4 linked regions of the Arabidopsis thaliana genome follow. The protein of the gene in region 1 binds, or shares a complex with, the protein of each later gene. Each region holds a gene or a part of one and is shown on either strand. Other genes may lie near its edges. The genes, in order: AT1G69800, AT2G28060, AKINBETA1 and KIN11.

The links.
Region 2: AT1G69800 (region 1) and AT2G28060 share a complex: the UniProt entries of both Arabidopsis thaliana proteins name them as parts of the probable heterotrimeric complex.
Region 3: AT1G69800 (region 1) and AKINBETA1 share a complex: the UniProt entries of both Arabidopsis thaliana proteins name them as parts of the probable heterotrimeric complex.
Region 4: AT1G69800 (region 1) and KIN11 share a complex: the UniProt entries of both Arabidopsis thaliana proteins name them as parts of the probable heterotrimeric complex.

The regions. Positions count from the first base shown.
Region 1 is NC_003070.9:26,273,715-26,278,041, forward strand, and holds AT1G69800 (Cystathionine beta-synthase (CBS) protein), read right to left. Parts: upstream 2,616-4,327; 5' UTR 2,612-2,615; coding exon 2,564-2,611; exon of another isoform or gene 2,431-2,563; coding exon 2,214-2,430; intron 2,100-2,213; coding exon 1,657-2,099; intron 1,578-1,656; coding exon 1,311-1,577; intron 1,239-1,310; coding exon 1,066-1,238; coding exon of another isoform or gene 1,005-1,065; exon of another isoform or gene 985-1,004; coding exon 702-984; 3' UTR 516-701; downstream 1-515. Other genes in the region: WRKY36 (WRKY DNA-binding protein 36), read right to left, coding at 3,524-3,970, 4,059-4,172, 4,274-4,327. UniProt on the Arabidopsis thaliana protein: Regulatory subunit of the probable trimeric SNF1-related protein kinase (SnRK) complex, which may play a role in a signal transduction cascade regulating gene expression and carbohydrate metabolism in higher plants.
Region 2 is NC_003071.7:11,949,329-11,954,074, forward strand, and holds AT2G28060 (5'-AMP-activated protein kinase beta-2 subunit protein), read right to left. Parts: upstream 2,926-4,746; 5' UTR 2,715-2,925; exon of another isoform or gene 2,450-2,714; 5' UTR 2,368-2,449; intron 1,316-2,367; 5' UTR 1,291-1,315; coding exon 1,264-1,290; intron 1,164-1,263; coding exon 846-1,163; 3' UTR 543-845; downstream 1-542. UniProt on the Arabidopsis thaliana protein: Regulatory subunit of the probable trimeric SNF1-related protein kinase (SnRK) complex, which may play a role in a signal transduction cascade regulating gene expression and carbohydrate metabolism in higher plants.
Region 3 is NC_003076.8:7,203,926-7,209,008, reverse strand, and holds AKINBETA1 (5'-AMP-activated protein kinase beta-2 subunit protein), read right to left. Parts: upstream 3,343-5,083; 5' UTR 3,292-3,342; coding exon 3,094-3,291; intron 1,844-3,093; exon of another isoform or gene 1,786-1,843; coding exon 1,675-1,785; intron 1,587-1,674; coding exon 1,411-1,586; intron 1,330-1,410; coding exon 1,167-1,329; intron 1,085-1,166; coding exon 770-1,084; 3' UTR 513-769; downstream 1-512. UniProt on the Arabidopsis thaliana protein: Regulatory subunit of the probable trimeric SNF1-related protein kinase (SnRK) complex, which may play a role in a signal transduction cascade regulating gene expression and carbohydrate metabolism in higher plants.
Region 4 is NC_003074.8:11,128,078-11,134,015, forward strand, and holds KIN11 (SNF1 kinase homolog 11), read right to left. Parts: upstream 4,029-5,938; 5' UTR 3,880-4,028; exon of another isoform or gene 3,732-3,879; intron 3,437-3,731; 5' UTR 3,434-3,436; coding exon 3,241-3,433; intron 3,112-3,240; coding exon 2,927-3,111; intron 2,833-2,926; coding exon 2,650-2,832; intron 2,555-2,649; coding exon 2,423-2,554; intron 2,326-2,422; coding exon 2,140-2,325; intron 2,065-2,139; coding exon 1,975-2,064; intron 1,890-1,974; coding exon 1,806-1,889; intron 1,723-1,805; coding exon 1,582-1,722; intron 1,446-1,581; coding exon 1,215-1,445; intron 930-1,214; coding exon 816-929; 3' UTR 543-815; downstream 1-542. UniProt on the Arabidopsis thaliana protein: Catalytic subunit of the probable trimeric SNF1-related protein kinase (SnRK) complex, a central regulator of cellular energy homeostasis, which, in response to seemingly unrelated darkness, sugar and stress conditions, activates energy-producing pathways and inhibits energy-consuming processes.

The sequences.
Region 1 (4,327 bases):
AATATAGAATCTATGGTCCCTCCTTTAAAAACAATTCCATTGGCAAGTATCTATAGACTATAAATATGCAGTTTGGGTTGTCGCTAAGGTCAGTTGAGTAAGAGAAGAAGCATTTGCAAAAGAGACATAACATGTAAAGTCAAATGTCCCCTTGAGTTCCCTTAAACGCTTCATTGTTCATACTTTGTTATCATCTATCGATCGATCAATCAATCTGATGAACACTGAAGTGTTTGGGGGGACTCTAGGTGACATCTTGGCACCCACAGGCTATATTAATTATCGAGCGGTGTAGTCAACGGTTGAGGTGAGTTATGAGCCTTTTCATGAAGAAGATAAGTAATGTGGTTGGTTATTGATCTATCATTCATGAGTGAGTCATTTCATTTGTTAGTTATACAATTTGTTTCAAGCTGATTAAACTCTTAGTTTGGCTTCCCTGTAAGTTGAACTTAATCAGCTGCATTGAATTGGCGAGACTTACACAAACACAAATATGAAATTGAACAATCCATAAAACAGAAAATTTTTTATCCAATCATTACAGTACATATATATTTTCAATCCTAAGATGTCGTTAATGATAGAACTTTAAAACTCAAAATGGTTGGTTACAAATTAGATATAAAGACAACAACTTCAGAAATCTAAACCAAGAAAGAACAAACAACAAAGCCAAAAAAAAGCTGAGAAACAAGAGATCATCGGTTAAGCATTTCCTTAACCGAGAAACCGAGACAGTTCTCAAAGTAATTTGGAGGTTCTGATACGAAACAAGAGATCACATCCCTCAGTGTTATAACCCCATAAAGCTCATTCTCATCTCCAGCCGCTACATAAACCCGATGCACCGACCTCGAAGCCAAACTGTTTATAACACTCCCTAAAGTCGAATCAGGCCTACAAGTTATTGCAGGAATCGCTAAACCGTATTCCTCTCCCGCTGTAGCAATCTTTGTCGCGAAACTCTTCACCGTGAGTTGTCTTTATCATCAACAAAGAGATCATTCAGTCATCATTGTTACCAGAGAAGTTGTAATGAGAAACAAGTGAGTAAAAATAAACCTGAAATTGGAAAAGACTTCAGGTTGTAAAAGCAAATATCTAATGTCTCTCATGCTAATGTTACCAACAATCTTCTTATTCAACCCTTCAACTACAGGGAGACCACCAATGTTGTTGTCTCTCATCCTTTTAAATGCTTCAAGGATAAGTTCCTCACTCTCAATGCTAATAACCTGAAACCAACATGTTCAATTTCACCGGTTTACGAGCCTAATGTCATGACTTCTTAAAGTTTATTTTATTACCTCATTGGGTGACATAAACGGGAGGCCGAGATCAGAAATCGGGAGAGCGGAAATGTGATCAAACCAATCTCTACCTTTGCAACCTTCAAGACCATGAACAACTGCAGATTGAGTAACGTAGTTCTTGATATCCGGTTCTCCTGTTTTAATAACCGGCACATTTCTTAACCGATATTTCGAGAGTAACAACATAACACTCAACATCGAACTCTCTGTTGAAACCGGAAGAAAAGGAGCCCATCTAAACGACTTAAGTATTGTTCTAACCTGACAACATAAACATATATCCATGATCAATCAGGACCATCACAACACAAATAACTTAATGTTCTGTTAAAAAACTTACAGTGGTTGATTTAAAAGGCTCTTCTTGAAGAATAACTTCATAGAAATCTTTCCCCAACTTATCAGCAGCAGTTGGAGCATCTTTTCCAATCCCACGTTCAGCTGCAACACCACCAGCAACCGCGGCTCCAACCGCAGCTGCGGCTAGCCCCGCAGCAGCAACCGGACCGGTCATCCCGAGCGCTGCAACACCAAGAGCTCCAACAGCTCCAGCACCAACACCAGCAGCAGTTGCTGACGTAGCGGACAACGCGATTGCAGCGAGTTCAGCACTCTCTAGCACCCATAAGATGATTGAAGAGTAGTCAATGATTCCTAAATATCTTTCTCTCCAATCTAAAGAACTCTCGTGATCTGTGTTAATCACAGGAGCTGATAGAATCTTGCTATCTGATAAGATCTTTACTGCTTCTGATACAGGTGTTTCCGCTTGAATCTCTATCACTACGATCAAACAAAACACTAATTGAATCTAAACCATTGCCAAGTCTCAAACTTTAAACGAGAAATCAGGAAATTTGGAGGAATCGAAAAAAATGGGATCTTTCTAATTTTTACCTCTGCCGCCGGGGACTTGAGGGAAGGAGGAGACTGGGATTCCGGCGAAAGCAGAGTTTAGGGTTTCTTGAAGAGATTTGGGTAGATTCTTCCTTGATTGTACTTTCTCGAAATACGCTTCACAGCTTGAAACCGCCGATTTTATCTCCTTATCTTCTACCGCTTCACTTCCCGCCATGTCTTGATACCGGCTCAATTTGAAGAATTTCAAACAAATCTACGATGATTTTAGATTGGAAACGATGAAACCCAGAAGAAAAAAAGAGAGCTTTTTTGGTTAAGGAAAAAAAAAAGAGAGAATTTAGAACAGTGGTGAGTGTGGTCGGATAAGCAACGTGTCGGAGATGGACCTTTGGTTTCGCTTTTCTGGCGGTTACGCGCGTCCTGATGAAGTGCATTGACACGTGACGTTATAATAAGTGGTCGTGTGTCAAAAGAGTTTAACAGCGTTATAACCGGAGTCGCTGACGTGGATGGGCCGAATTCTAAGATAGAAAACGGTAGTAACGGGCCTGAGCCCAAGATTGATTTAAAAGTAATATCTGATGGATCATAGTTTCATACGTTTTCTTTCTTTTGGTCATTTTGTTTTCTTTCCTTTTTAAGAATCGACCATCTAAACATTTAGGTGGCTCAAACAATTCAGACATCTTCATTTCGGTCAAATTCATCACAAATTTATATTTGATAATTGAGGGAAGTAAAATAATCAATTCTTTTATGTAAATAATTTTAATGGTGACTACAATTTTGACCATCAAATTAGTAAATGTCTGTAGCAAAAAATAATAATAATCAAATTAGTAAACAATACGTATGTGATTTCAAATAATAATACGTTGTGTTGATAATTTGTCAAATAACCCACTATTTTATGTGATGCTAACTAAAGTTTATTTTGTAAAAATCAAACAATTTTGCAAAAGTGAAAGAGGGAGATTTTGTCAATCTGCATGAAAACCACCTTCCATTTTAGATATCATTGTGTCATCATAGTCATACTTACTTAATTCACCAACAAAAAAAATTAACATTGTATTTAAAATTTTTATAAGCATAAAAAAATATTTGGTGTATCAAATTTGTGTAGACCATTAATTTACAAAACCTTCATATACATATATAATCCATGATATGATAGGTAATCCACTAATTTAAACATTTGGATATCTACAAGTATATAAGCATTTTGCATATCATGCCAAAACCAGATCTCTCTTTCAGAGGCTGAAAAACAAATGAATGACAAAGAAAACGGAAATCAGTTACTTTCTAGACTTGTGTCTAGCTATACCGATACAGTTACTGGCTTATTGCTGTCCGGAAAGTCTCGTTCGATAACGGGCCAATAATGAATCTGTACTCAACGGAGCTTGTGTTCGCAAGCCACTAAAGTTCAAGGTGTGGTCATGCGATGATGGAGGTGGAGGATCTGGAGAGGAAAAGTTGAGACTGAAAGAGGAGGACGATAGAGGGTAGTCGTCTGGTAACTGATTGGGATAGTTTGGTCGTGTGAGGTCCAATGTTACAGTCGGGTGCGAGTTAGTGGTGGAGATAGAGAAGTGGTGAAAAGGGAAGAAATAGCTTAGACTCGCTGAGGTGGAGGAGGAGGAAGAGGAGGAGCCAGATTGTAATAAGGAGGCAGCCGCGGAAGTTCCAGCTGCCATGTGGCTTGCTTCCATGGGGAGAGGATGGTCATGGTTTCCTTCGTACGTTGTCATAAAAGCGGAGGTTTCTTCTTCTCCACATCTTTGCACCTATAGACATTCGTTTTAAAAGTTTTTACTCAAAACCAATTGTTAATAAACAGATATTTGGATTGAGAAATTATAGAATGTATTATACCTGTTTTCTAACGGGACAATTTGACGACATGGAGCAACGGTAATAGGCTCGTGGGAGAGGATTGGTTTTCGCAGTCTTTTGACCATATTTCCTCCACTGGCAACCGTCGTTTATCTATATATATTCATGTAACGTGTATATGATCAAATAATTAAATTAGATGTGAAATGGTAAATAAACACATATATGTAATGTATGGTTTTGATGGTACGTACTGATGGGTCTTCACATGATGCTTTAACACAAACCCTAGTTTTCTTCAAACCTGT
Region 2 (4,746 bases), on another chromosome or scaffold:
ATTAATATCCAGAACCCATTTTTTAATCAATTTTGTGCAAATAAGCTCCCATGCACAAACCAACTTTGTTTTTATATACTCCCTCTGTTACTGAATATTTGTAGTTTAAAGTTTTTGCACACAAATTAAGAAAACATACAAATTTTATTTAATTTATCTTTTTCCTATAAAAACATCATTAATTACAACTAATCCAACCAGTAAAAAAATATAATTAATTAAAAATTATTAAATACATTTAATGTTTGCATAGAAAAGTGAAAACAACACTTATATTAAAAAAAAATAAAAAACCTTAAAACTACACTTAATTAAAAACAACGAGAGTATAAGTGATCTACATTCAAACCGAACTAATGCAATGATCCGACGATCCAATCCAGTTTTAGACTAATGCATTGATCCGACGATCCAATCCAGTTTTAGAGCATTAGTTTGGTAACTTATCTCGGACATAGAAAGTTTTGATTAAGATTTTTTTTTTTTTTTTTCCTTTTTGGAGCTACGAAAGATTTAAATAATTTATGGTAACACTACATATGAGCAAGTAAAGAACTTCATTAGCGATATTTGGGCTCGTTTAACTAAACCCAATCTAAGGGAGTTATTACAAACAAACAATGCCCACGTCTATCAGCTTTTTTGGGCCTAAAAAATAAAAATGCATGGAGATTTTATATAAACTCCGAACAAGAAGATGATTTCAATCGAATGTACCTAGAAACCGTCTAAATCGAATCTGTAAGAGAAGAATAAAATTCAGTACGGACCAGATGGTTTTGTATACCAAATTCAATCCATAAAGAAGCAAATTCCCAACACTACTTAAAAAGAGGTATCATTATTCAAACATTGGCGCTCCCTCTTCTTTGGACAGGCTTGTATATCACCACAGTGACAAACTTAGTCCTGAACCGATGCGAGAAACCGAGTGCTACAACAGATCTTGGGGCGTCTCGGTTCTCGATATAGAGGTGGTTCAGGACAACATTCTGTGGCGCATAAGCCAGTTCCATGCTACCCTGATTGCCTAATAGAGAGTGTTGAAGGTGTGGCGGTACTGCTGGAGGATCTCTTGTCTCATCTTCGGTTGAGGAATACACATTGTTGTAACTTGAAACCGGTGATACAGGTACTTCAAATCCCACAACCGTTGTGTCCTCCTATGTTTAAGAAAACGATAAAAGATTGAAAAATCGAGCGGGAGACTGGAAATTACTCGATTAGTTGGTTGAAGGCAAAAAGGTGTTTTAGCTGGCTTACATGATCATCAGGATTTTGACTGTTCATCTTGGATAAGATTGCCACCTAGTGCCTGAAACAAAATATAATCATAACTAAACCGCAATAGCATGCAAAGTAAACAATCAAAATGAATGTAGGTCACACCAGCTCAAGTGCCATTCAAACTAATCTAAGAGAAAGAGGTGTTTACATTTCAACTCAAAAACACTGAAGCAGAAATGAAAACAATGTTGTTCTCTACAATGATGCAAACTCTTATTTGTGTGAAATGTAAGACTTTTGTCTAATCGGTATCAAAAGTCAAATAATTCATAATCCCGTAGACAAATCTAAGGATCCAAAGATGCAGACAGTCTTAAGAAAGTTGGACCAGAGAATCATATTTTCCCATGCCTTCTTCGAAGAAAGTACTAAGGTGGACAAAGGATTCAAAAATCAATGGACCACAGGAGTTAGAATAGAAACACATTGATCATTATCACAACAGAGACAAGTTGGAAGACATAAACTACATTGTTATTATCATGTACATCCAAATTCCACAGCTAATTCTTCTCTATGTACACTGAACAGATAATATATAGGATTTAACCATTTATTATATGAACTCTTTGCACAGTTTTATCTCATCTAAAGACCCTTTAAACCTATTACACACCATAGGAACCATATCTCAGCTAAAGACCCTTTAAACCTATAAGAAAACCGCATCATGCCTACATCGAAAATCTATCAAGCTTCAAGATTCCAAACACTTCCAAGACAGAACCATGAAGAATTTCCTTGCACGAGAAACTAATCCCCACGAAGTTATTCGGCTAACCAAATTCCATGTTCAGAATAAAATTTGTAAAGTCCTCCTATCAAGTGATGATGAAGAAACCAGGCACTTAAATGCTTAAAGAGAATCCAATATTTGAGGTCTAAATCCTATACACACAGAACAAAATTCCCACAAATCAACTGGAGATATCAATGAAAGAACTGTACTCACCCAATCTGATGAACACACATACACACTTATCAACCAAACTGGAACAACTTTAAAACACAACTACTAAGCTTAAAAATACATAACAATGAACACAATATCAGAAGCCAAACTGGAGTTAAAATTCTCACCTTTGGGAAGCTAAGCCCTTCAAATTACCCTTTCAAAAACGTAGCAGCAATGAAAGTCTACACAAATCCTTAAAACAAAAACCTGCAAAATCATCAGTAAATGACCCATCAAATGATAAATAACACCCACCTAATAGAAAACCCTAGAAATCACCGGAAAATCAAAATTGAGGAATCAGTCGCATAAAAAATGAAATTTTGAATCATGGGTATTCGATTTTACTTCGATATCAATGCAAATTTCGTATAAAATCAGACGGAAATTGGAAGAACGAAGGAGACGAAACGAAATTGAGAAAGGCAGAGAAAGAGAAAAAAAGAGAGGGTTTACTCTGTTTTTACTTAACCTAGAATATGATTAGCTCAATGATTGATTGATTAATTTTAGACAGCTTCGAGAGAGAAGATTGGGTTCGTCCTGGAGATTCTTGACGAACACAGTCGCGACAAGCATCAGCTTTTGTTTTGCTTATTGGCTTAAACTTTGCTGTCCTTCGAAAACATTTTCTTTCCTCAGAAAACATTTTTTTTCTTCTTATGGAAACTATTTTACTCATTAACTTTCTTTTTAGTTTCCAAAATAAATAATTGACAAATAAGGATGTGTGATTGGTGGTTTGCTTTTGTTCGACTCTAGTGTTCGCTAGACATGCTGTTTTTCCTCTGAATATGTGAAGATTTCTTTGATTCTATGCGATTCGATCTTTTACCTTTTTTCGTCTCTTAAGAATGGTGTTATCGAGACTAAATCTTCACTCCTTGTCTATGCTTCTCAGACTTGATCGAGGTCTGGTCCTTTCATGAAACTTCTATTTATTTGACATTTTTAAGACAAATATAGATTGATGTTCATTGAGCTTATTATATAAAGATAGAAATGCAATAGTTCTAGTGAGCTTTATTGAAATGTAAAGAAGAGAAAAATGTAAAGGAGCTTAAGGTTTGTCACCAAAAGCCAATGTTTCTAGATTTGATATTTCATAAGATGAAGGAAGAGAGTTCTCTCAAAGTTACAATCATAGTTCTCATTACATAATTGTTTATATGAATCTTCTAACTTGTTAAAATTCTACTTATGTAGACCTCACATTGGGTTTGGACTTGTTTTAGTTGTGGACTCTAATACTCCCCTGCAAACTTAGCAGCGAGTATGAAAACAATGATGATAAATTTGTTTTAGTTGATCGAAGAGCTTAATTTTCAGTCCATGATCCAATGAAGGCACATAATCTTAATGTTTATTGTTTCTTGTCGATTTATGACATCACCACATACGAAAGAAAGTTTGGGCAGTGGTTATCAGGTTATAAAGCTTAAAAATTCTGAAATCTGAAGGTTGTTGTTCATCTCAATAGGAGGACTTGTGTATCGTTGGTTGGTGGTGGGCATCCGCGATACTTTTCTTTCAAATAATCTTCAAGAACTATGCGACTTATAGTTTTGGTGGGATTTCAACTACTATTGCTTTTTTCCTCTTGCTTTGTAGTATTATTTATGACTTTTTTACTTAGGGCTTAAACTTCGAAAAAATCTCGTTTTCTTTCGGTTTAATGTTGTATTTTATCAAGTATTTCATCATGGTAACATTAAAATAACTCTAGATGACAAAAAAAAAACAAATTAAAGAGACTCCAACTTAATTTCCCTATTTTCTTAGTTTTTTTTTTCTGTTTTTTAGTTCTTCTTTGTATTTTTTTTTTTTTAAATTTCAATACATATGAGATTACTCTATGGTTTGGAAAACCGCATGGTACCTAAATCCTACAACAATGGATTCCTTTTCCTTAGGTATGTTTTCGTATATGTATTTATCAATCGAAGATTTGTATGGTTTAATGAAATATTTATCGTGTTTTTGTTATCCAAAAGAAAGCAAAATCCAATAGTCCCGAAAACCCATGCAACCGTGTACATAATAATATATATATTTAAAAATCCATGTCCAATCTCCAAACCATTTTAAAACAAGAGAAACAATAGTTTGAAAATATAGAAAATTGCGTGTGAGTGTGTCATAATTCATAAATGCAAAGACAAATGTTTGATCTTTGATTGTAATTTCTGAAACTCACGGACTTTCCTACCTCTTTCTGATCTTCCCGACCCCATCAACACTTTTTTGTATCTCTATCACACATATAAAATCGTATTTTGATTAATACCATTTTCCAGCCATTTTGCCTCTGTCCTCTCCTACTTACTCTTCTCTCTTATGTTTCCAGCCATCACTCACGAGCCCATTTATGAACTTTAACCCTAAACCAGTGTATATCTCCTCCCACTTATATATCCCTCACATTATCATTCCAAACTCTCTCAAAAAAACAAAAATAATTACTTCAAACTAAAACCCAATGTTCAACACAAGAGTTCATATTG
Region 3 (5,083 bases), on another chromosome or scaffold:
ATTTACCGAATGATTGATTCTTCGTTCGAAGTGAAACATGGAATAGTAGTATAGTACAACGGAGCTTCAGGAATACACACCTGCGAATTGTCCCGGGAAAAGGGAGTTGAAATCGCATGCAGCCTTTCCGGCAGTAGATTTCAAAAATCTATGGCGCAGAATTGGCTTATCGAAGGAGAAGAAGTAGTTTGTCGGACAAGAAAGGAACTCTCGGCGACAATGCAGAGCGGAGGAGCTCGAGAGAGTAGTAATTGGAAACAGAGCGTCTCAATTACTCGGTCGATGCTTCTTCCGCCATACTCCATCGTGTGGCTCACTTTTTCTCACCTTATTTCTCTTTTATCTTTTTCTTATCCAAATTAAAATTTTCAATCAAATAGACGACGTGGATTTATTATGAGTACACTTTCAAACTGGTTAGCCTTTTCCAATACCAAAAAGAAAGATTATTTTCAAAAATTTGTCACTTTCGCAAACGTTTTGTCAGAAGAAGAAAAAAAACAGGATTTATGTGTTTGGTTGCTAGCAGATAAGCTTGTTATAGCCATTATTAGCGAATGTATTTTACAGTTTTTGCAGAAAATAAAACAACAATCGTTACAATGAGAGAAGCTTTGTACACAAGCACCACAAACCAGGTAAGAAAGAGGTTAATAAACTCAAATGTTGGGCACTCACTAGTCACTATGAACAAAGAACATGTTTTCACATAATTGAGAGATGAAAAAGAAAGAAAGAGAGAGAACAATGTGGCACTGAATTTTTAGGGTTACCGTGTGAGCGGTTTGTAGAGGACAACAGTTATGTACTTAGACTCGAACCTGTGGGTTAAACCCAAAGCTACTATGGATTGAGGAGTCCATCCTTGCTCTATGAACACATGGTTAAGCACCACATGTTGAGGCTTTGTGGCTATGGCTGTCTCTTCAGTAGTGCCAAGAAGTGTTAGATGAAGCTGAGGTGGCACCGCCAGTGGCTCTTTCGCGTAATCTTCTGCGGCTGGTAGGGTTTGACCGTAGCTATGATCAGGTGATGGTGGCGCCTCAAACTCCACTATGCTTTCTGGGTTTTCTGGCACAAAGTTCTGCATGCATAATGATTGCAGATACTGTTAAGCTGATTGATAGATTTAACATGAGAAAAAAAGAGGTGGGAAAGTAACTTACATGAACATCGAGAATGTTACAGACATTGCCAACTTCGTCTGCTACAAAGGGTAAATCTGGGATGTATTTGGATTCACCGTCCACAATCACCTTGTAGTGGTATATGCCAGATGGAAGGACAAAGAGAATCGAGTGGTCTTTCCCTGATTTCTGCAGCTTCTTCCTGGTGAATGTAAACATATTGTTTTTAACATATATCACGAAATCTCGAGAGAGGGTCCACGAGAAACAAAGTCAATTATACCTTGATCTCCAATTGTCCCATGATCCTTCCACCGCCACATCATTACCTCCTTGGTTCCATGTAATGATGGTAGGGATTCCTTGCTCTGGGGGATTATCAAAAACTCTCTGTGATTGGTTCCATTGGATGTTATTAGGAGGAGGGGCGTTTGCTCTCTGCAATGGAGCCACGGGAACCTGAGAATATCCACATAAACACTGAGCCGTGAGATCTTACAAACCAATGTGCAAGAAGAATTTGCGAATGTCAAAACATTATATCTACCATCCGACACGAAATGCAGCCATTAGGTACACATGTTAAGCCTAAACAATGGAAGAGGTGACGCATAGGTGAGCAAATGTTGTAAGATGTAACGTGGAATAACAATGTGGGCTGAAAAGAAAAGGAGTCGAAAATGAATATAGCAACAGTAGACTCAGAAATTTACTCGCATACAGAGTACAGACAAGACCTTATTAGCAAAAGATATTTCACTATTCCCACAAAAACCTGATAACAAGGTCAATTTTAGAAGGTTGTCCTTCACTTATCTTATGAATTATTCACATATTAAGAACAATGAGAAGAATGACGAAACATCCAAAATCTGTAATTCGTTCAAGTAAAAGCTCTGCGTGTTTAAATTCAAAAAGGGCGAAGAAAAGAACAAGCTTGCCCTCCCTCCTCTTAAAAATGAAAGCAAAAGACATTACACAAAAGACTCACAATGCGACATGCAAATCAACAGAACAGTATCAGTAACTGGTAAATGACCAGAGAGCAGCAGGAAAGTCAAAATCAGCATAAAAACCTAGAGAGACAATAATCATCCTATTTGACTGCCATACGCTTTTCCACACCAGGCATGGAGGCATAATCAGAAGACAAATAAGACCTTCTCTAAAGCAGATTCTCTAGTATGATTAACAAGATTTTAACTCACCAAAAGGAAAAGACATAGCAATAAGGTGATCTAAGCCTCTCTCTCTCTCTCCACCAAAACTAAGGAAGAGTAACTAGCTACCTTGTCATTTACCAGAGTTTTTGACTTCTCAAGAACCAAACAAAACCAAGTCAAGTCTAATTCCTTTATACAAAAGATTTCATTCACAAACGTACTTAGTCTGCAAAGTTGCCCTCTTCACAATGAAACAAAGATAAATTACACAAAGACTCACTAAGGGACATCAAGAATCATGAGCGACCAGTAAATGACTAGAGACCGGCTGGAAAATAAAGAAAAAATAGCTAGGAAACCAAAACAACATCTTAAAGAAAGGTAGAAACTTTTCCACATTATGCATTATTTCAAGATACCTGAACCAAGATAACACAAAAATAAAAGAGATTCTCTAGTACAGAATCTCTAAACCCAACTCAGAAAAAAGCTTTAAGAACAAGAATCTACATTACAAATTCTCAAGAACCAACAGGATAACACAAATCAAGTGAACAAGTAGAGTTCACTCATAAAAAAAAGGCTGGAGATTTTGTACTTGGATCCTATCTAAATGAAGAAAGTGTCTCACAATTAGTGAAACAAATGAAAAGTCAAGTGAACGAACATTCTCTTACTCAACGAAACAAATCAAAAAGATTCTCTTACTATTATCTCTTTGGGCGAATGTTTCAATCGATTCAATTCAAAACCAGAAATCAAATTCAACGATTAAACAGAGAGAGATATTCGAGAGAGGGAACCTGAGGAGCGAATAAGAAAGGAGATGGAGATCGAGCAGGACTTCCGGGAGGAGAACTGCTCATAGAGTCTGAAGAAGGACGACGGTGACGACTGCGTGCAGAAGGATCGCCGCCATTAGATCTCGCCGAGGACGAGGTAACATCTGCACCACCGCTACCGGCGGCGGCGTCTTCGTCTTTGCCGTTCGCATTTCCCATCTGAAAAAGCCCAAATCACAGAAGCGAGAGAGACAAAGAGAGGAGAGAGATAGAGGAAAAGAGAGAGAAAACCAGACGTGAAGAAAAATGGAGGGAGGACGACGAGGAGGAGATAATGAAACGCCCCTCAAGTTAGAAGTTAATTACGAATAATGCCATTGGTAGCGAAAAAGAGATTTTGCATAAAAGGGGCTCTTGAGAGAGAGATATCATTAAAATCCGTACCAAATGGATAAACGAGTGACTTGGCGTCCAAAAGTTTATAATTATCCACTTTTTTTTTGTTTATTTCTTTTAGTATATAATAAACAAATGTGAATAAAAAGTTGGTTCAATGCCTTTGAGAAGGATAATGACACAAGGGCCAGTCACCTCCTTGCCACCGATTTGTGTGCCTTAACATCTTGCTAGAGCCAGTGATCATAGTATGCGTATCGTGACGATGAAAAGGCCTTAAACTCCAATAGGTGGGGTTAGAATAGAGATGGTCAAAGAATCATCATTTTCCAAGATTTGTATTGGTTAGTCCCGTAAACTAGTTATTGGTCGAAAGATTGTTTCGAAAAGTTTGGAGGGTTTCAAAGCCAATGTAAACTTGTAAAAGGCGATGGTCACTATTCACTAAGCCATGAGTGATTGTCATGCACTTTCCTTATAGGTTGAGTCATTGTTTTTTCTTTTGCTTTCTCGCATTGTATATTGGTCACTTTCAAATTGTAAGATTTCAGCTTTTGCTTTATCATTTACTTTGAACTAAGGTTTTGATTCAACCTCATATTTTCTTCAAACGAGTGTACTATCATTGGAAAAACTTGATTTCAATCACTTCAATTTTCATCAATATATTGACCTTTTGTTTAGAAATCTTATCTAGTGGACACTAAATCTTCCACAGACACCTTCAAATGTCATTTTCAGAGACAAAAATTCATTCAAATCTTCATCAATTACTTTATTCTTCGTAGGTTCACATATTGAAGAATTAAGATAATAGCCTCACCCAAAAAAAAAATTAAGATAATAGTTTTCACCTCAGAAATCATCGTTAATATCCATCATATATATAAAAATTATTATATGTATATTAACAATTCAGATAATTTTTCACGTATTTTTAAAAGACTAAATATTATAATTAAATAACTTAAACGAATTAAACAATAAAACAATAAAGAGATTATAAGAGCGATAACTAGTTATCTTCGTTCTCTTTTACCAACTACTAATCCTTAGTTGTAACAAAAGTTTGTTAGATCACATTAAAAGTACAAAATAACTTAGAATTGCTACACAAATTCTAACACATCTATTTAAGGACATAAACTAAGGTTAATAAATAAACGCGTTATAAATAGGTCTAACGAAAATAAGTTTATAAAGTTAATTTAAATTTTTTTAAAACCCTACATAAATGATGTTTTCTCAAAACAAAAATTAAAAAGAAATAAATTGAATGTTTTTAATTACGAAGGATAAAGACCAGATTAGAGGATATTTGTAATACTAGTAATTAAACAAATCATGAATATTATTCTTATTTTTTGTCAAATTTCAAATAGGAAAAATAGGAAATTGCTATATAAAATAAACATATACATATAAAAAAAGAGGAAAGTAACTAGGGTTTTTGGGGTTATACGTTTCACTGTTTGTTTCATCCTCGCTTATTCCTCCCTTAAAGAGTGTCGCCACCAAAACACACACACACACTTGCCTCCTTCTTCAACCTCTCTTCCTCACATTGCGTCTTCTCCATCTGATCCTTCAATCCTCGTTCTGTTTTTGATCCAAT
Region 4 (5,938 bases), on another chromosome or scaffold:
GGGAGAGAAGCGAAGACATTTTTCAGTTTGCAAAGAGCTAGGACATTATTCCAGAAAGGAAACATTCAATTGCATTGAGTGTGACTACTTTTCTTTGTGTTTCAAATGTGCTACATTACCTCATAAGGTAATGTATAAGCATGATAAACATATGTTCACTCTTTCTTATGGGGATGAGATAAGTACAACGATGTATTGGTGTGAAGTTTGCGGTCCGAACCGACTGATGATGAAAAATCAGCAAAATAAATCCGAAGGAGCGGTTTTATGTGTGATGAGTACTGTAGTGTTACCCTACACATTCAATGTATGTTTGGGGTGGACTTATCCTTGAAGCCCGATATATTATTGTCCGACGGCGACCTATTTACTCCTTTTGCAAGAAGCATTGTCCACACAAAGTAGCTCTCCAATGTTCTGTATTAATATCGTGTTCCACATCTTGTATTGATGCTAAGGACTTAAGTTGGGTAGCCGAATTTTGTGAAATGGAATTTTGATGGACTCTGCGTGCAATGTTTTTAGGTATGACATGTATAATGTGTCTGATATAAACGTTGTATAAAATTGGCATCAGAGGAGAAATACAATAGTTAGAATGAAACAGCTAAGTTATGTACACATGATCAAACCTTAAAAACCATCAAAAAGAAGAAAGGATAGTTACTATTACAGTAGAGTTTAACTTAGAATCCAGGTATATAAAAGTAACCCGGCAAAGTAAACACTGCACCCACATATTATATTATGTTCTCTACTATTACAAACCATTGAACATGAAAGAAAAAAAATGTCTCAACAAATGGTTAAAACATTCAGATCACACGAAGCTCTGTAAGAAAGGCGGCGCATAGATCCAAGAAGAGAAACTGCGGACCGTTAACTCTCTGTATATCCAGCAAGTACTTCTCTTCCCGGGCTTTGTATAGCTGTTTCAAAATCAAAAGTGAACTCAGAAAGTGTATAATTGTTCTTCGAAAACAGTTGGTTCAAGTTCTAAAGAAGGTTTTAGTCTATGTCCTAGCTGGTTTAGTTTTGTTGAACTACTACTAGTGGGATAAAACAACATCAGGATCTTAGTCTTTGCTCCAGCACAATTCTACGAATGTAAACCCCGTTGATCGATTCATATCCCTAACAAACCGAACTAGGCAGTTGTTTATTTTCTCCAAGGAATGTTGTTGATACAAATGTATGTGTGAGTTTATAGTTACCTGAAGTTCAAATTTGATGACAGTGGGTGAAGTCATGGCACAGTCATCCTCAATGATGCTGGATTCATCTCTGAAGTGCAGCTGATTGTTGACCATAGTATTCTGACCATCAGCTAAACCAGGAACCCATCGACATTTCATGTTGTAGTGACCAATCTTCTTCCAACACACATTGAGTTCTTGAAGAGCTTTCAAAACTTCATTCATGATTTCACGAGGATGCGCATGAGACTGTTCAAAACAACAAGGTAACAGAATGATTATCGATTTGGCTATGTAGAGGCAAAGAGTACAGATATCTGATTGTGTGTTGCATTCAGAAGACTTTATGGTGAGGAACAAAAAGAATCAGTAATCAGGAACAAACCTGAAGTCCAAGAGCCCATTTTCGATCAACAGGGACTTGTGATCTTGCTCCCAACCCGTAGTGATCCACATGTGCAGGAATCCAGTGGCCTACAGGTGAAGCGCCCGCTTCAGGTGTGCGCATAGGATTGGAACCACTGTCCTAGATGAGTAACGTTGAAAAGGTGAACATGTTAGTCAAAAATGTTGGAAAGCTATCTACTGAGAGGAAAGAAAAACACATACTGTTGTCTCCTGAAACTCGGATTCTAGATAGCCACTTGGAACACGGAACCGGTTATCCAATAACAGGTAGTATGTAACAGTAGCCTGGTACAAGGAGCAAATGGCATTTCAGTGACTATTGGAAACTAGTTTCGGGGATTAAAAGCATTAGAGACAGGAAACTACATACATCGTTTTGTGTTCTGTTGCGTAGAGATTCCAAAACCTGGTTTCTATCAAATCCCATGTTAACCACTTCTTGAACTATCTCCTCATTGATCTGCAAAACATAAGAGATATTGTTACTATCACAGCAAGTGAACTCTATTAATCTCCAAATGGCACTGAAACCAACCTTTTTAGCCTGCTCTACTGTATCCGGTGGAGAGACAGCAAGATAACGAGGGAGATGAGTCTGGAACCAACGGTGTTGACGGATCTCAGGAATGGTGATTCGTTTCACCGGGTCAACTATAAGCATCCTTGGGATCAGGTCTCTAGCCTCAGATGATAAATGACTTGGAAGAGTGTAAATCCCACCCTAAAGAGAAAAAAAACACCTTGATAAGTTACTTCACATACATATGAATCCATTTAAGAAGAGTCTTTTAGCTGAATCAAAGTATAACGTACAGTACCTTAATTTTCTTGAAAAGGTTGGGAATGTTTTCATCATCAAAAGGAAGAGTACCGCATAATAGAGCGTACAATATAACTCCGCAACTCCATACATCTACTTCAGGTCCAGCATATAATTTACCTGATATAACCTACAACAAGAAGTAAGAGATAAGACACTCATAAGAGAAACGAGACATAGTCACATAGGTGAAAAACAATTCAGTAACTTTACTAAACTATATACCTCGGGAGCAGCGTAGTTGGGGCTTCCACAACTCGTCTTTAGAAAATGACCATCCCGCATAACATTACTCAACCCAAAGTCTGCAATCTTAATATTACACCTCGAATCCAATAGTAAATTCTCAGGCTTCAGGTCTCTATGGACAACCATATTACGATGGCAGTACTCTACACCAGATATTATCTATTCGGATATGAGTCAAACACAAACAACACTCAAACTCAAAGATGACATGATACGCTACAAACACACTGGTTATGGTAAAGAGAAAACAAACCTGCTGGAAAAAGTTACGAGCCTCATCTTCTTGTAATCTGCCTTTCTCAACAATATAATCAAAGAGCTCTCCAGACTTGACATACTCCATCACAACATAAATGTCACTCGTGGTCTCTATTACCTCATACTGCCGAATAATATGAGGATGCATAAACAACCGTAGAATCTTAATCTCCCTCCTCACTGTAAAGAAGAAATATACATACATTAAGATAAAAATACATACTAAAACCTAATAAGCAGAAACATTTGATTATCAAAGCTTTTGTTCTAGAAACCACTAAAGCTAAAAGTAACGGTGCTTGTATATACCTTTCTCTTCCATCTCCATGTTCTTGATCTTACGACGATTAAGGATTTTGATAGCAACCTTATGCCCTGTGACAACATGCTCTGCTATTTTCACCTTCCCAAAAGACCCAATTCCAAGAGTTTTACCAAGCTTGTAATTCGGTAAAATCGATTCCACTCCATTATTGCCAAATCTATTTGATGAATGATCCATTTCCTGTGTCCCAATTCAACATCAAACTCATAAGTAAGCTCTCTTAGCAACTTCTCTATAGAAAAACATCAGTAAACATATTAACTTGCTCAAATAAAAAAAAACATTCTTCAACTCAATTTTCATTTCATCAAATCTAATCTAAACCAACCATAAGCTTGTAAGAAAACTGACAAGAACCACCGACATAACTACTTTGTAATGGTGGTTTTGGTCTGAAACCAAACAAGAGACTCACAAGTTTGAGTTTAGAAGACAAAATTGATAAACCTTTACAAAGAAAAAAAAGTCAATTTACCTGAAAAGCTTGTTAATTTCGAAAACCGTCTTGGAGTAGATCCGAGAATCAAAAACCCAGATAAATTGTTCAAACAAAGAGCGAAGAAATATACAGAAACAAGGAGAATCAGATTGATGGGTATAAATAGGGCAGAATTGTAAATTACGATGTAATCTGAAGAAATTCTTGGGGAAGTCAGATTTCCAACTCGTAGGTGACGCAGAGCTGAGTCAGGTTTTTTTAAGTCTTCATGGTGAAAATTGGTAATGACGAATCAAGAAACCACAAAACCCAGATAAACATTTATTGCCATTTGCAAGCCCTTAAATTAGGGCCTTTTTGCCCATTTTCTGTTTTTGTTTGAAAAACTAGTTTTTTAAGGTTTAAAATTTTTATATTACTGTTTTTATGATCTATATATACATTTTTGCAGCCACTTTGTGAAATAAATCCTAGAGTTGGAGTTTATTTACAGTGGCTGCCACTCGCATTTAATAATTGTTTTTGATAATTAGAAAGAAAATCTTTAAATTAAATATTTGACAATCTTCCCAAAATCTTTCCACATTAACTACACGATTAGTTACTAAAATAAAACTTCCGAAATATTTAATATCATTTAATTACTACAAAATTATCATTTTTGATATTGTTTTTCTACATGACTATAATAATTCGATTATAATCATCAAACCGCAGAGATATTAGATAGCATTTAATTACTACAAAATTAAAAAATATTTAGACAATGATTCATAAACATATCATAAATAAAATCAGTGAATTTTTTTTACGGGACGGATTGGCGGGACGGGTTTGACAGGACGTTACTTAATAACAATCGTAAACTATAAAATAAAAATATTTTATAGATAAATATAATTTGCAAATTTTTATATATAGTAACTTTAAAAAATAAATTGTCTCCGCGGTATACCGCGGGTTAAAATCTAGTTTTCTATATATAAAAGCGTGCTAATGATAAAGCGGATAAATTAAGAAGTTTCAGACGCATTTTATTATATAAAGTAGAGTTTTTAAAGTTAATAACTCAACTGATCGTGACACGTAACAAGTCAATCGTTCATATGTTGATATTGTGTCGGATTTTTTTTTACTTTTTTCCTAAAAGAAATAGGCAATTTAACAAAAACAAATATTTACATATACTAATTTATATGTCTATATCTAAAAAAAATAAGTTATAGTTTACTTAACTAAGAAGGGAAACTAACAATAAGATGGAGTGTATAGAATTAAATTGTATTTGTATTGCAAAATCGAATTGTATTTGAAATGTATACAATCAAATTTAATTGTATTTGTATTATAATAAAATAGATATTTAAATTGTATTGCATAATCGAGATTTTTTAAATATTTTTTCTAAAAGAAATAGGAAATTTAACCAATAAAAATACATACACCAATTTATATTTCTATATCTAAAAAATTTAACTTAAAATTTTCTTAACTAAGAAGGAAAACTAACACAATAAGATGGAGTGTATAGAATAAAATTATATTTGTATTGCAAAATCAAATTGTATATGAATTGTATGGAATCGAATTAAATTGTATTTTTATATAATAAAATAGATATTTAAATTGTATTGCAAAATCGAGATTTTTTAAATATTTTTTCTAAAAGAAATAGGAAATTTAACAAAAACAAATACATATACCAATTTATATTTCTATATCGAAAAATTTAACTTAAAATTTTCTTAACTAAGAAGGAAAACTAACACAATAAGATGGAGTGTATAGAATAAAATTGTATTTGTATTGCAAAATCAAATTGTATATGAATTGTATGGAATCGAATTAAATTGTATTTTTATATAATAAAATAGATATTTAAATTGTATTGCAAAATTGAATATGTAAGATTGAAATTTGGTTTAAGGAAATACTAAATTAAATACTGAAAAGTATATGAATTATTATTTAAAATTTAAATATCATCAATAAGATGGATGTAGTCTATAGAATTAAAACAGTTTATTAAGATAAAATAGATAGTTCAAATGTAGAATAATTGCTGAGAATGCCCTTTTCACACTACCTTTTTCAGTTATACCCTTTCATATTTGACATTTTCATTTCTACTTTCAGTAAATTTTTAATGACTATTTTACCCTTATTTGGAAATTGTTTTTTGCCTAAAATATTCCAAATAAATTTCCTGCCAATAAAATACCATAGTTTTTGTTTTTGAGCAT